Linked DNA regions of Tamandua tetradactyla. The protein of the gene in region 1 purifies or fractionates together with the protein of each later gene. This does not show direct contact. Links are inferred from orthologs where the notes say so. Each region holds a gene or a part of one and is shown in the gene's direction. Other genes may lie near its edges.

Region 1 (7,963 bases):
TGGGGTATGTAAAAGTTTGGTCATGAAGTTTCAGATCCTACATTTCAAGTAACTTTTTAAAAAACAACTGGTTATTGAGAATTGGTATAGCAGAAAAGTAGAATATCGGCAATTACAGAAAAGACTTAAAATCCTCCTTTCACATATCTCTGTGAGGCTAGATTTTCTGCATATATTTCGGTTGAAACATTCAGAGAAGAGATAAGAGAATCCAGCTGTTATCTCTTAAACCAAGGGATTTGCAAAAACTGTAAAGTAATGCCTCTCTTCTTGCCAAGTTTTTGAAGTTATTTCTTCATTAAAAAGACTATTTTAAACACCTGCCAGAATGGCCATTATCAACAAAACAGAAAATGACAAGTGCTAGAGAGGATGTGGAGAAAGAGGCACACTTATTCACCGTTGGTGGGAATGTCAAATGGTGCAATTGCTGTGGAAGGCAGTTTGGCAGCTCCTCAAAAAGCTGAATATAGAATTGCCATATGACCCAGCAATACCACTGCTAGGTATCTACTCAAAGGACATAAGGGCAAACACACAAACGGACACTTGCACACCAATGTTTATAGCAGCATTATTTACAATTGCAAAGAGATGGTAACAGCCAAAATATCCATCAACAGATGAGTGGCTAAACAAACTGTAGTATATACATATGATGGAATATTATGCAGCTTTAAGGCATACTTTATGAAGTATGTAACAACATGAATGGACCTAGAGAACATTATGCTGAGTGAGATTAGCCAAAAACTAAAGGACAAATACTTTATGGTCTCATTGAAATGAACAGACATTAGTGAATAAACTTGGAATATTTCGTTGGTAACAGAGACCATCAGGAGATAGAAATAGGGTAAGATATTGGGTAATTGGAGCTGAAGGGATACAGACTGTGCAACAGGACTGGATACAAAAACTCAGAAATGGACAGCACAATACTACCTAACTGTAATATGATTACGTTAAAACACTGAATGAAGCTGCATGTGAGAATGATAGAGGGAGGAGGGCTGGGGACATAGATGAAATCAGAAAGAAAGATGTTGAAGATTGAGATGGTGTAATCTAGGAATGCCTAGAGTGTATAATAATAGTGAAATGTACAATGTACAAATTTTAAAAATGTTTTTGCATGAGGAAGAACAAAGGAATGTCATTATTGCAGAGTGCTGAAAATAGATGGTAATTAATATTTTAAAATGTCACCTTATGTGTGAGACTAAAGCAAAAAATGTTTATTTGTTACGAAATTTATGTTTTGACTAGAGCATTTCCTAGTATAACTTATGTAGATAGTTTGATTGAACGTCATAAATACTTGGAATCTCAGGTAGGACATGAGATTTTGTTGGTTTGTCCAGAGTGATGCCCCAATGAATCCCAGAGTGATTCAATCAGTGAGTGGAAAAGTATTTGCAAAGCCCCCCTCGGGGAATGGTGAGAGCGGGGAGAAATTCAACTTCCCCAAGTTGAATTCTTGATATTTTCACAAGCAGTGTGGACAACCAAAGCTGTAGGCTGAGCCCCCAGTCTTGGGGTTTGTTCATATGAAACTTAACCCCACAAAGGATAGGTCAAGTCTACTTAAAATGTTGGCCTAAGAGTCACCCCCAAGAGAGCCTCTTTTGTTGCTCAGATGTGGCTTCTCTCTCCAGCCAACATGACGAGCAGTCTCACCACCCTCCCCCTCTCTACGTGGGACATGACTCCCAGGGGTGTGGACCTTCCTGGCAACGTGGGACAGAGATCCTGGACTGAGCTGAGACTTAGCATCAAGGGATTGAGAAAAACCCTAGAACGAGCTGAGACTTAACATCAAGGGATTGAGAGAACCTTCTCAACCAAAAGGGGGAAGAGTGAAATGAGACAAAGTGTCAGTGGCTGAGAGATTCCAAACAGAGTCGAGAGGTTATCTTGGAGGTTATTCTTACGCATTAAGTAGATATCACCTTGTTGTTCAAGATGTAGTGGAGAGGCTGGAGGGAATTGCCTGAAAATGTAGAGCTGTGTTCCAGTAGCCATGTTTCTTGATGATGATTGAACAATGATATAGCTTTCACAATGTGACTATGTGATTGTGAAAACCTTGTGTCTGATGCTCCTTTTACCTATCATATCAACAGATGAGTAGAACATATGGAATAAAAATAAATAATAGGAGAAGCAAATGTTAAAATAAATTTAGTTTTAAATGCTAGTGATCAGTGAAAGTGAGGGGCAAGGGGTATGGTATGTATAATCTTTTTTTTCTGTTATCGTTTTATTTCTTTTTCTAAATCGATGCAAATGTTCTAAGAAATGGTGAATATGCAACTATGTGATGATATTAAGAATTACTGATTATATATGTAGAATGGAATTATGTTAATATTTTTGTTAATTTTTTAAATTAATAAAAAAAGACTTTTAAAACATGTAATGAGCTTGTTATTATTTTAAATTAACTATTTTTTCTAAATTTTTTAATTATCCATTTTCATTTGGATAATAATCAATAGCTATAAGAAAAAGTTTTTTGGGGTCTTTAGTAATTTTTAAGGTATAAAGGCTTCTGTGTCTAACAACTGCTTATTTAGAAGAAAACAGATTATTAAACATAATCTGTCTTTAGGCAAGATCTGCAAATACCTTGAATTCAGTTAAATTCAGCAGTAGTTAAGCAAAAGTCCAGCAACGCTAATGCTTTCCTTTTTGTTATATATACTTTATTTAATGTACTCCCTTGGAGACAAGTTGTGCTCCCAAGAGTCCTTGCTTCTCTTCTTCCCTTTTTCTCTCACATAGAAATGTCTTTGTAGTCCCGGTGTATCTGCAGCTGGATACTCCAATATTTTTTATTCCATTGATATTTCTCAGTTGTTGGTGCTACAATAATTGTGACAGTGGAATGTAAAGGGATCCTTGGGCTTGTCTCCATTTGTGACTTTTTTTTCCTGATTAATAATGACAGGGGTGGGTAATTGTTGGAGCTCCTAACCTAAGCAGAGCTAAGGAGAGAAAGGAAAGGGGAATATTTGACTTAGCGATCAGGAAGAATGTTTTTGCCTTTTTAGCAATTCATGTCCATATTTTAAAAAACAGAAGTCTATTTAGTGAGTTGATACTCTATATTACTGAAATGGTTTATTGAGGTATTGAATTTTGTTTATTTAAGTATAACATTATCAAACACCCCACCCCCACATGCCCACACACCCCCCCACCATACATACACGTTTATCAAATTGTCAGTGTGGAGACTATGGGGATTGGAGAAAAACAATGGGTGGGGAGACTTTTGGCGTTAGACTTCCTTCTTTTAAATTCCAGTTTTTCTACTTCCAAACCGTATGATCTTGTACAGATTACATTATAACCTCACGTTTTTCCTAGGTAATTTGGGATGGTGATTTCCTGTAGAATTGTATTGAAAACTTCATGTAAAGTACTTATCACAAAAGCAGTGATACTTATTATAGACAGATAGGAGAAGGGCTTTTTAGTAGATTTTCAAGTTAAATCGTAGGAATCCCCTATTCTTGACTACCTTCTCTTCATCATGAAGAGATGATAGAATTACATGATGTAATTCTGAATTACATCATGCAATTCTATCATTGTTAAATCATTTTCTCAGAATTTATATATAGAATTCTTAAGTATTGAAGCTTCTCTTTCCCTCTTGATTTATCTTTATAAGCTTATGCTTATTTTAGGATTATTTATCTGTCTAGTTTTACATATCATTGTGTTAAATTTGTGAAAAATGTAAATTGGAAAAGTGAAACCAAATAAGAAACACTGTTTTGTTACCTTTAAGAAAGTTGATGGTACGTTGTTTATGGAATGACTGATGTATTATTCATAATGTAATTTAGGGGTCTGTTATTTTGGGATCTTTTACTTGAAAAAAATGCTTTTTTTACATATTCTCACTTAAGTATAATTTTGTGAAGTTAGTAGTTCTCAATCTTTTTTTTTTTTTGCCCCCACTCTGCATATTTGAGAGACCATGATACACTCCCACCAATTAAAGTGATTCCCTGTAGGAAGAGGGTCCCAGCTGCTCCCAGTGAGTGTGAATATACCCATTTGCCCCCCAAAGTCACTGGTTTAGTGTGAGCTTTAACTGCATGTAGCATATTCAAGAGATTAAAATTTAATTCATATTTATTCTTTATCAAGTGCTTATGGGATTATACAGTATAACTTATTTTAGTTTATCTAAAACAAGTCATGAGATTTGAGGCATTCTTTGCTAATAACAGTGGCCTTCCCACCTCAAATTAGAGGTGATGTTTTGATGATGGCTGACATGAATATCTTATCTTATGAGGGATTGCTAAATTCTAGGCTCATTTAGAATAGACATTGAGTTTTGAAAACTATTATCTTGTTTTAAACCTTTGTTTTAGGAGAGTATTCATGATCTTGAGACACCTACTATGTTTTCCTTCAACTTAATATTTTTAAAAAATCAAAATTTTTAATTAAAATTAGAATTTTTCATTGGTTTAAAGTAAGTTATACGAGTAAACTAGTCTTATTTATGGTCTTTTATTTCCTGAACAGAGACTCCACAGGGGCAGGTAATTCACTGGTCCACAAGCGGTCTCCTTTACGTCGAAACCAAAAGACCCCAGCATCCTTGACCAAGCTGTCTTTACAGGATGGACATAAAACCAAAAAGCCAGCATGTAAATTTGAAGAGGGTCAGGATGTCCTAGCTAGATGGTCAGATGGCTTGTTTTATCTTGGAACTATCAAAAAGGCAAGTTATCTCAAGATAAGTTATCTTTGGCTGTTGTACAGTAAACTTTTAATAATCATAAGCCTTTAAACTTGACTTCATGTTTTTAATTTTAAAAGAGATGACCATAAGTATTCCTCTGCATTGCAGATAAACATATTGAAACAGAGCTGCTTCATCATATTTGAAGATAGTTCTAAATCCTGGGTTCTCTGGAAGGACATTCAAACAGGCAGGTGCTATTATTACTTTTAACCATGATTTATACTAAAATTTGATATCTTCAACTTGTCATTCTAGTGTTGACTCTTCAATACAATGTATTCCTTTTGAGGAGAGGTTAAAATATATATATTCTTCATAAACTTTAAGAAGTTTTACGCTATACTGAAGATTTCTTATAGACCAAAAGAAGAACAAGAATACTGTGTTAGAGTAGAGGTAGACTAGAGGACTGAGGACTCTCACCTATTGTAGGGTAAAATATGGGCCCTTCTAAGAACTTTGAGGAAAAAGGTTAAGCCACTAAGATAAGTAACAGTTTTGGAATCAATTTGGCTGTTACTTGCCTTTATTACTACAGAGCAATGAAGAAAAATAATATTTGTTGAGACCATTATTTGCCAGATGCTTTGAGGAATTTGAACATAAATCATTTTAGAGTACTAGGAATATTTATAAATAAGAGTGGTTTAAAATTGCTGCTTAATTGTGGCTTTTTGTGTTTAGATGGGAAAGTGAGAATATATTTGGGTGCAAATAAAAATGAGTACAAGTGTGTCTTAGTTTGATTATAGGTATGTTTTTTGTAATGATTTCCATTATTATAGATTGCAATTACTGTATGCCCTTTGAATCTCTAAATATAGGTATTTTTGCATGTATATCTTTGATGGAAAATGTTTTATATATATAAAGAGTGAATCTTTACTGAAAATCTGAGCAAAAGCTGTTCGTTAAGACCCCTTTCTTTGTTTTTCTTTTGCTGGGTTAATATGCCTGTTTTGTGTCCTCTGTTGGAAAGGAAACATAAATTATCTTCCCTAAAGTGTAGATATATCTTTCTAAAGTTTTTAGCTATTGGATCCCTATTGCAACTTTATCATAGGTGACTACTACTATATTCTATTTTTTGATTTTTCTCCTTTTTCTGAAAGATTTGAAATGTCTTAATTACCATCTATATAGTTGGTATTCAAGGCTTAGGTGTTACTTCAGTAAAATGTTTTCTTAAGGAAATGTTTTTTAGTTTGTGGAACTGATCAGTTTAAAGGACTAAAGGTATGTTTTGAATATGAAATTGATGGGTCTTTGAGAAAATTTTGTGTGTTATAATATTTAAAGGGATAAAAGGTCAACAATAGTAATATTGAGCTGATCTTGACTACTGCATACAGAATTATCCCTTTTCCCCAAGTTTGTAAACGTTGGTCTCTGAGGTGGGGACTGAAACATATAGTATTGATTGCATCCTATCCCTCTTCCATAAGTTATATGTCCTTTTCAGCTTTTCCACCATTTGGAGGTTGCTGTGGGTTAAAAATAGGCCTCTCTCCATCTTGCACCCTCTAAATGTGGCAGAAAGGAAGAAGAAAACAAATGATACATAATTATGAAAAGTTATTTTGAAGGTGAGGGGTACAGTCCAACCTATGCCCCAGTGTATCAGTTTGGTTGTCTATGGTATTCTTTTTTTTACTGGCTTCTTTGCTATCCCTAAATTACAAAGACTTATTCTTTTGCCATTTAACTTTTTGCCCACCTAGAATGTAGTGCCCATGAAACTTGGAGTTTTAATAGAAATGAGCAAGTAAATGGTCTCCTGTAGCCATTAAGGTAGTACCTGAAAACTTGCATGATGTCATATTTCAATGGAGGAATTATTTAGTAGTTTTTGTCCCTGTAAGTAATAGATTATATATCAAAAATACATAATAAGTCTGAGTAATTTTATTCCTCTAATAACTTTCTTTTAAAAAGCTTACATAAATAAGTAAAAATGTATAATTATATTAGTAGTGAAAGAAATTTATTTTAGCACAGGGATTTATGTTAAAAACATTAGATTTAAAGGATTTTAAACTTTCACACTTAATGCTACTACATTTTTTGTGAAAATGCAACTGACATTGTTGGTGGCAGTGTAAATTTGAATTTTGGCTGTTAATTTAGCAATTGGATTAAATGCATAAAATGTTTATACACTTTAATCTACCTGCCCACGTTCAGCAGTTTGTTCAAAAGAAATCTCAAAAATTAAAAAGAAAAATGTTTGCTGTAGCTTTATATTTACAGTCATTTGGATTTAGAAGTTAGAGAGTCTATAGAGGGCCACTGAGCTACACAGGAAAGTTCTTGTAAATTTGATGGTAAAAATGTTACTTATATTTCACAAGTAAATGTAGTACTTGATTTCCACAGGATTGTTTTCTGAGGTGATGAGTCAGCTCTCCTTTGCAGGGGAGCTGCCTTCTTTCTTACCAGTCCATGTGGTTACAGAAGGAGTCAGGTGCAAGCACCTTTTGCAAATCTTGGGTGATCAGTTCCTTTTAGGAAATTGCAGACGTAGGCTGACAGTTCCCACTGGGGCTGAGTCTGGCTGCTCTCCTGACGAGAGCTATAAATCCAGAACCTATGGGAGGCCATGTCTTGACGGGTATACCAGGAAGCAGATGAATGAAGCCTGGGAGAAGATGGGAGAACAAAAGACTAAAGTGAACAAAACTACAGACTAGCAAAAAATCCCACAAAATACCCACAAGAAAAAATAAACCAAAATATGATTTTGTAACCTGTATGTCCAAGAATAGAGTAAGAAAGTACATTTGGTTCCATCCACTGGATCAAATATTATGCAGTCATTATAAGTTATGAATTAGAAAACTGGCAGTGTTAAAAATGCTTTTGATGGAATAAATACTGCATATTTTCAGTGAAAGGTAGCTTCTCATTGTGAGAAAAATATAGACTCTACCATATCTGGGTGTAAATCCTAGCCTTGGTACTTAACTGATTTAGGGTTCTTGGGTTAGTTACTTTATATTTCTGAGCCTCAGTTCCTCTCTATAAATAGGATATTTACCGAAGAGTTGGTTGTAGAGTTAAAATAATACATGCCAAGAGTCTTATACAATGCTTGGCACAAAATTGTAATTATTTTGTTATCTTTGATAATATGATAAAGCAGGTACATTATAACTTTTAAGTTTATATTTAAATAAATGGGAAGAG
Region 2 (8,096 bases), on another chromosome or scaffold:
GTGCTCAACTGCATGACTTAAAGCAGGTAGTCCTTTACCCCAGGCCATTTGAATTATTTCTTTCTTATAATGCTTTAGCAATCCACAAGCTGCTTCTGATTGCAGAGCAAGTTCTGAGAGAGCAAGCCCAAGAAGGATCTCCTAGTTTGGTGATTCACACTCTACCCCAGTTAATGGATACTCTTGTATAAGCACCCCACTATATTAGGCAGATAGGGGTTACTCTACTCCTGCTTGAACAGGTCCAAGAATCCACCACCAGTGTGCATACTGGTTCCAAAGTCTGCCAGCGAGTGGGTGGAAGACAGGCCAGCAAGCGCACCACAAGTCTCTCCTATTGCATTTTTTTTTGTATGCTGTATGGTGGGGGTCACATTTCATTCTTTTTCCATGTGACTATCCTATTATTGCAGCACCATTTGTTGATTTTTTTGGGGTGGGGGGAAATGCATGGGCTGGGAATTCAACCCGAATCTCCTTCATGGCAGGTGAGAATTCTACCACTGAATTACCCTTGTATCCCTCAGTACATTTGCAACCCCCTCTACACTTGCACCCGCCCTTATTTTTACATTAGTGGAGTGAGGATGATAATACCTACCTATCTTGATCAGGGTTCATTTTATAGATAAAATGAAACTATTATGAGAGTGTACTTTAAACACTATAAAAAGTTGTACAAGTGAAAGATAGCATTAGATAGCACAGGGAAAGATAAGGTTGTATTAGGAAATTAATAATGTACAGATCTAAAGAAACTTTCCCTAGCAATTCTTACTTAACACGTGTATTTAAGTCTAGTTAAATTGAAAAGGCCAGCTCTGAAAGGGGAAGAAGGAAATATGGTATAAAGGTCAAAGTAGGATTAGAGCATGTTAGGTCCACAAAAATCTGGGGTGATAACTGAATTCAAACCTCTCATTTTCTACATGATGGACCTGGGGCCCAGAGGGGTCAAGTGAATCTTGTAAGGTCACTCATATTAGAAACACCTAATTCTTATCTCGTGATTCGCTTCCTTGTCAATGGCAGCCTCAATATAAAACAAATCATGCCCCCATGAAAATTCCTAATTAGGAGAGAAAAAATAAACAAACGACATACTTGGCAAGCAATACAACACAGAACACAATTTTAAATCTCAAAAAAATGTGACCAGAGAAGCACGGGTAATGAGAATCCCAGAATGAGTAAGTCAAGCAGCCAGGCTAAATTGGTGATAGGACTAAAGCTGAGGCCTTAGAATGTACGACATAGAATGTAGGTAAATAAAGATACTGTGAAATGGAGTGTAATATGGAGATGAATTGTGAATCATTTCTTAGGAAAACAATGGATATGATTGATGTTTGGAAGCATGATAATCTGTGTCATCCTGGGTGAAGAGGAACACTTCAATGTGCATTTAATACACGACTATTAATTACTTTTTTCTACTTGATCTTTATTAACACTTTAATTCTTACCCCATCCTTTCTTATAGTAAATGAAGTGGTGGACAAGAATGCTTAATTAAATATGATTGCCTAAGCAGATTTAAACCCAGAATAGTGCCTGCTCTTATTTGTTTCTAATGACTTGTCACCTCTTCTTCCCTCACCCCATCAGGTTCCCATTCTTCTTGGAACGGATAATCAATTTAATTAAAGGAGTATAAAAGGTAAAATCAAGGAGTAACTTTAGACACTACCCTCTTTTCCACCATTCCCTACACCTAACCAGTTCCCAAGCCCAGTGGATTTTTGATATGCTAAATATTTCTCAACCTGTCCTCTGCTCCGTATGCTGTTCCCTCTGCCACTTGATTCAGATTATCACCATTTCTCATGTCATTTACGCAATAACAGTTCAACTGGTATCTAGGCCTTCTTGCCTCTAGTGTTTCTATTCTCATTTCTCATAGTGGCAAAACTACCTTTTAAAAGTGTAAATCTGCTTTATACATATGGATAAAATCCTTCTTTAGTTTACAGGACAAAACCTAAACTCCATTGCCTGGCACAAAGAGCCTTTCAGGTCCTGGCTCTCTGTCGTAATTTTGGCTACTCCCAAACAAATAGCAAACCCCATCCCTAATGTAGCAATTTCTTCAACTCTCATGATTATTTTACTTGCTGAAAAGTTTCTCTGCTTATTTCAAACTGTTGACCCCCCTACTTATCCTTCAAAACTTCCTAATTCCTGGTCAGCTCAGCTATTCATTGCCTTTAGCTCCTTTACCAAGCTGCTAATATATGACTTCTTGTCCATATAGTAATTGACTGTAAAGTCCTCTTCTGTTGAGCTATGGAATCAATATACCTAGTGAGGTATCACCCCACCCTCTTGAAGAGGTCAAGAGGAATGCTTTAAGTGGGGAAAATAAGTAGGAGAAAGCGTGAACTAGATTTACAGAACTGAAAGAGGAGAAAAAGAAAGGAAAGGTAATAAATGGCCTTGCTAAGATAGCAGGGAAAGGAAGTTCATCAACAGACATTCACTTCCACAACAGGAAAGGCCTTCAACTGCTAAAATGGACAATCTATTTTTCTTTTCAGGAAAACATCACAATTATCCAAATCTTTAGCAAATTCCTTCTTTCCCCCTGCCTTCAGGACTAAACTAGCAGAAAATTTTTTTAATACCTGGTGATCTGGAGTTGGTAGCCAGCAGGGGAGTTCACAGGCCCAGGACTGAGAGGTCCAGCCTCAGGGCCTAGCAGAGGGAACCAAGAAGAAATCCACCTTTGTTATTTAACATTTGTCTGGAGCATGACAGGTCTGACATGAAACCCCCCAAAAGCTGCTTCAAACCACAACAGTGTGAAGCCCAGACTCCCACTATTTGCAAGTCTTTTGAAAATACCTTGTAACCTAACCATAGCATTTGCTTGGGTGGCCAACACTAAAGTGGCGTCTGTTCTATTGGATCCTTCCCAGCAAATGGTACCAGAGAAGATTTGCAGTATTAAGGCATGGACGGTGATTTATTTTCTTGATTATGAAATGACCATGGGTCAAAATTACTCCATTTTAGAGAGCACTCAGATTTTTTATTTTAAAGGGAAAGTAATAATTAAAAGGGCCTTTAAAAAAGCCTTTCATTCCCAACTAACATTTACAGGATACTTCCTACAAAGTGCCTAGCTCTTAGATATGTTTTTCACAGATTGGGTCAACCACCCATTTGCAGATGAGGAAATTGACGCTCAGCGTGGTCGTTAGTTGCATTGTTCTAGGAAATGGCCAAGGTGGAATTTGAACCCAGGTCTCTTAACATCCATTTCTGAGACCTGCAGTTACTTCAAACACTACTGCAAATAAAATCTAATAATGGTGTTCCTCGTGTATTTGTGTTTGAACTCTTGAGTTAAGCAGAACGGAAGCAATGGGAAGGAAATAAAATTTAGAGGAATGAGAAGGAGGGAGCAAGCGCTTATCCCATTTTCAATTTACTCAGAGGGTATTCTCAGAATAAACTTCAAACATTGCTTCCTCAAAACCACGGTTCTAACAAAAAAAATTAACGCAGAATGGCTGTGCGAGTCTCGTCAAAGTTGTCAATAAGGCAAAGGCTCAGGGCGGTAAAGAGATGCACCAGGTCATGCTATTTCATTTATTTCAGCGTGACAAGGGCGGTAGGGAGAGGAAGGTGAAAACGCGAGCTCTCCCGGGGCTAACTTGGTGTTCCAGATGCTTCCTTACTGTTACCGAGGCTGTGTGGCTTAGTCTCCATATTCCACTTGTTTTTACTCAGCGTTTCAGTCTCACTCCTGGACACACCGGACGCCAACACGCCTGTGAGAGAAAAGATCCTCTTTGATCTCTTCAGAGACGTCTATCTTTTCCACAGGCGGCCCCGGGGAGTGAATCTGGGGCCTCCCCCGACGCCTCTCTCGCGCTCGCGAACGCCGGGGTCGCGCGCCGAGGCGGGGGCGCCCTTTAAACACGCCAGTGCCCGCGATCCCGCGGCCGCCCACCCCGCGCGGAGGGGCGCGGGCGGCTTCGGGGCGTCGAGCGGAGGAAGAGGTGACCTCAGACTACCCCGGAGCCGGACAGGAGCCGCCTGTGTAAACGCACGAGGCGGTGTCCTGAGGTGACACCGGCTGCACCGCAGAAGCAGCAGGCGCCGCCGATCAACTAGTTCGCGCCGAGGATTCCTCTTGGTGCGTGGCCCAGTTCTACTCAGGACCCGCTCCAACCCCTCCCTGACACCGCCCCCCGCGCCGGGAAAGCCGCGCAGGCCGCCTCCCTCTGCCCCCCCGAGCCCCCGACACTGGCCGGCGCGCGCGCGCGCGATTCCTCGATTCCACAGGCGGTTCGCGGCCCGAGTGGGGGCGGGGCTCGCGGGGAGAGGACTGGCAGCCGCGGGCGAGGGGGGTGCGGGGCGGGGGCGAGCCGGCGTGGGGAGTTCCTCGCTCGCGGACCACACGCTCTGCGGGCCAATCCCGAGCCAGCCTCTAGCAGTGTCGCACGCGGGACACGTCCAAGCGTTTGTTGGCAGAGCTGGTGAGGGGGAGGGGGCGAGAGGGAGGGAGGGGAGTTGAATGACAGGCTCGCGGGGCAGGCTGGGAGTTGTAGTTCCCACCTCCCATGGCCATAGCCATTTTGTAGTCGGGGGACTACAACTTCCAGAAGATCAAGGGGACCATTCTAAGGTGCCCCGGGAATAGGCGGCTCTCCCCGGGGCCGGGCGTCCTGGGGCACTCGTACCCAGAAGCCGGGCTGCAGGTAGATGTGAGGGCAGTGGCGGGGGCTAGCGTGTGGGGGCTGTGGGGCGAGCGGCGAGTGGGGAGAAAAGGGGTGAGGTGGAGCGACCGAGCGTGCCATGCATTGGGTTTAGGGATCGTCTGTCAATTCCAGTCCTAGGCTCGGCGTGGGAGAGATGTCTGGAAGGTTGCCTGGGGCGGGCTCATTGCGGTCTCTCGGGTGTCTGGTCGACCGGGCTGCGGGGGTCCTCAGGACTGGGCCAGGGGCGGTGAGCGCCGCGGTTGGCTGGCGCCTGGTGGCTCAGCTGTGGGAGTTTTCGGCTAGTTTTTGAAGGGGAATTACCCGAGGAGCCCTAACTTGTATAAAAGCAGAGTCCATTTAAAGTTGGGCTGGATAGCCTCTCTCTCATTGGTTAGGGGGCTTGGAAAAAAGAGACTCGGCGAGCCCTCGCTGTGGTGCCGCCGCCGCCGCCGCTGGAGTTGACTCTTCTCTCACTGCTGCTGCAGCACAAACGTGACTTCCAACATTTTTTATTTATCTTTCCCTTTTCTTTTCCAAGATGTAACTACATATCAGACACTAAGGACCTTCACGTTCCGCTGATGTAGTTTTTGGAGGAAAAAGGGGGGAGTGAAGGGCGTCGGTTTTTTTTTTTTGTGTGTGTGTGTTTCGGGGGAAATTTTCCATTATGAGTGTTTTACTAAAGTGAATTTTTTTTTGTTTGCTTCGTTCGTCTTTGGCTCTTTTTTTTATTTTTCCTTCCCAATTTCGGATTTATTTCAAGGCGAATCTGGTTTTGGGGGAAGAGGAAGAAAAGTCGGATTACAAGATCAACCACCACGACCAACAACAATAAAAACCTACAGGATTTTTTTTGCAAATTTCTGACGGCTTTAAATTCATGAAGCAATTGTCCCCTTTTGCAATCAGCATTTGGATCTCAGAATGAGCAAGGAAAGACCCAAGAGGAATATCATTCAGAAGAAATACGTAAGTGCTCTTAACAACATATCCTTTGACTCGCAGTTTTAAGCAATGGCTGTGAATGTCAAGTTTATAGATAATTCTGCAGCTGAAGGGTTTTAAACACAGCGTCCGATAAGGCTTTTTCTTTCTTTTCAGAAAGAGGGCTTTTCAGGCAAAGTCGTGTCTGTTCAGTTTGGTCGAAAAAACAGATTGGTGTAGCGATACCTCAAGTGAATAAATTGACCTCGAATGACACAACCATAATGTAGTTTTGGATGAAAGGCAAGGGATTTTGGTGGAGCTTGGGGGGGTGGGGTGGGTGGGCGGTTGCGGTAATGTAACTAAACTGCATTCTCGGGCGGATTTGGCCCCCATATTGCACTTTGCATGCAAATGAGCCTGTTATTATTAATGTTATTTGAAAATCGTATAACGCGTGTGTAGTCTAAGCCTTTTAACTTGCAATCAAGTGTCCGATTTTGGCGACCTTGTTCCTTGCACTGGCACATCAAATTTAATGTATGGGATCGTTTTGGCTTATCTGGTTCGGAACATAAACCAGTTGGGAATCATGTTTCAGCGAATACATTTGTTGGGGTTGACTTTAATAATGGGGCTGGTTTTGTTTAAAAATTCATGGTTTCCAGTTTTAGGGAAAAAAAAGACTGGCTGGTGTTTTTAAGTGTGTGCGTAAATGCATATGTTAAGTGTCTACAAGTAATTTCTTCCTCTTAACTGATCTGATTATTCAGAGGTTTAAATGGTTTGGCACAGTTAAATTTGTTTCGTGCATAGTACAGCTACATTTTGATTGGCATTGGGAGTGTTTTTGTTTTGTGTGTGGTGGCTTTTTTTTTTTTAAGTTTGGGGGGAGGGAGGGGAGCATGAGACTGGGGGATTAACCAAATATATACTCTAGTGGTCGGCTATTAGCTGTACGCGTTAAATGAAAACCCATTTTTTAAAAAGGCCAAATGTTCATACATCGAGAATAATGCAGCGTTATAAGAAAGTTTTATTGGACTCGAGTTGACAAGTTGGGCGTTAATATTCCTTTTTGATATGTGTGGTGGGAGTAACATTCGGGGCACTGGTTTTGCAAAAAAAAAAAAAAATAATAGAAAAGATGAATACCTTTTTTAGAGGGGTGATCCTAATCTAGACACTTTAAACTTCCCCTGTGGAAGAAATTCAAGGTTAAATAATCAAGTCCAACTTAAAATGCTATTCCATAAAGAATTTACGAATTAAAATACATCCGCATTGCAGAGGGTTGGGGAGAATGCAAAGCACTAGTTTAAACTCAGGCTGTATAAACTGCATGGAGGCAACCTTGCCTGCGAGCGTGGAAGCCCTCCCGGGGCACGTCCATTTGGGATGCAGCCACAAAGCAAATTGGGTAGAACTTGGACAAGAACCGCCCCTTCTACACCCCCCACCCCCACCCCCCGCTGCCCCAACCTCGTTAAGTTGGAGAGTAGTGTGGGGCGGATATTTTTTGTGTGTGACTACGCCGGCGGATGGTGCGGCAGCCAAAGTGTCGAGTCCCGCCGCTGTAATCCCGTGTCTGACGGCGGCCGGGGAGGCAGAGCTCGAGTTGTTGCTTTGGGAGAGGAGCCGTGTTCCGGACGTCCTCGGGCCAGCCGGGGAGGGGGCGCCCGGGTCGCCGTGGGCCAGGCTGGATGGCCTGTAGGGGGCAGGCTCCCGGTTCCGGGCGGGGGCGCGAGACGGACGCCGTGCGCCCCGGGACGGCCCGCGGGTGGGGTGGGGCAGGGGCAGGGGGCGCGAGGCCTGCTAGGTCCCGGGGAGTGTGCGGCGTGTGCCGGGAGGGGGCCAGACCGCCCACAGCTGAGGCGGGAGCCCCCACGGTGAGCATGGCGGCGGCGGCGGCCGCCCGGGGGCCGGTTCTTTGCGGCCCTGCCGGCGGGCTCCAAGGCGCAGTCTCGAGCGCAACAGGTTAAGCCGGCGAGACGTCAGTCCGCTCCCCCCACCCCCCGGTCCTCCCCCCGCCGGCGCCCCCGCCCTCCACCCCCGGCTTCTCCCGGTGCCCGTGTGCGTCCCGCTGCGTTCTGTTGTCATTGTGACGTCACAAAGGGACGGGCCTGGGTGGAACCTTCCCCTCCTCCTCTGTGACGTCAGAAGTCGGGCGGGAGGTTCCAGACGCATCCCGGCTGCGGTGGGAGGAGGGAGCGCGGCTGGGGCCGGGGCTGCGGAGGAGCCGCGTGGCCTAACCGCGGCTGTAAATCCGCGTGGGAGGAGGAGCGGGAGGATGCGCTCTGCCTCTGCCTTCCGCCCCGAAACTGCGCTTCCCACCAGGTGAGAGCCGAGAACCTGTCGTCTCGGAACGAGAGCCCCCGGATCTTGCTCTGATTCCGTGGAGGGGTGCAGAAATGCGTTTCCTCCGTTCCAGGTCTTCTGATGGTATTGCGTTTCCAAGGCTTT

The links. Proteins that work in one complex are often made in the same cells at the same time.
Region 2: the proteins of MTF2 (region 1) and JARID2 purify together in Homo sapiens (affinity purification with mass spectrometry; 3 studies listed by BioGRID and IntAct, with this or other methods). This does not show direct contact. The link is inferred for Tamandua tetradactyla from reciprocal best matches to the Homo sapiens genes MTF2 and JARID2.

What each region holds. Positions count from the first base shown.
Region 1 is NC_135337.1:30,941,816-30,949,778, reverse strand, and holds the start of MTF2 (metal-response element-binding transcription factor 2), read left to right. Parts: upstream 1-4,911; 5' UTR 4,912-4,968; intron 4,969-7,963. UniProt on the Homo sapiens protein: Polycomb group (PcG) protein that specifically binds histone H3 trimethylated at 'Lys-36' (H3K36me3) and recruits the PRC2 complex, thus enhancing PRC2 H3K27me3 methylation activity.
Region 2 is NC_135351.1:18,257,567-18,265,662, forward strand, and holds the start of JARID2 (protein Jumonji), read left to right. Parts: upstream 1-5,094; 5' UTR 5,095-5,633; coding exon 5,634-5,678; intron 5,679-6,788; exon of another isoform or gene 6,789-6,832; intron 6,833-7,115; exon of another isoform or gene 7,116-7,361; intron 7,362-8,096.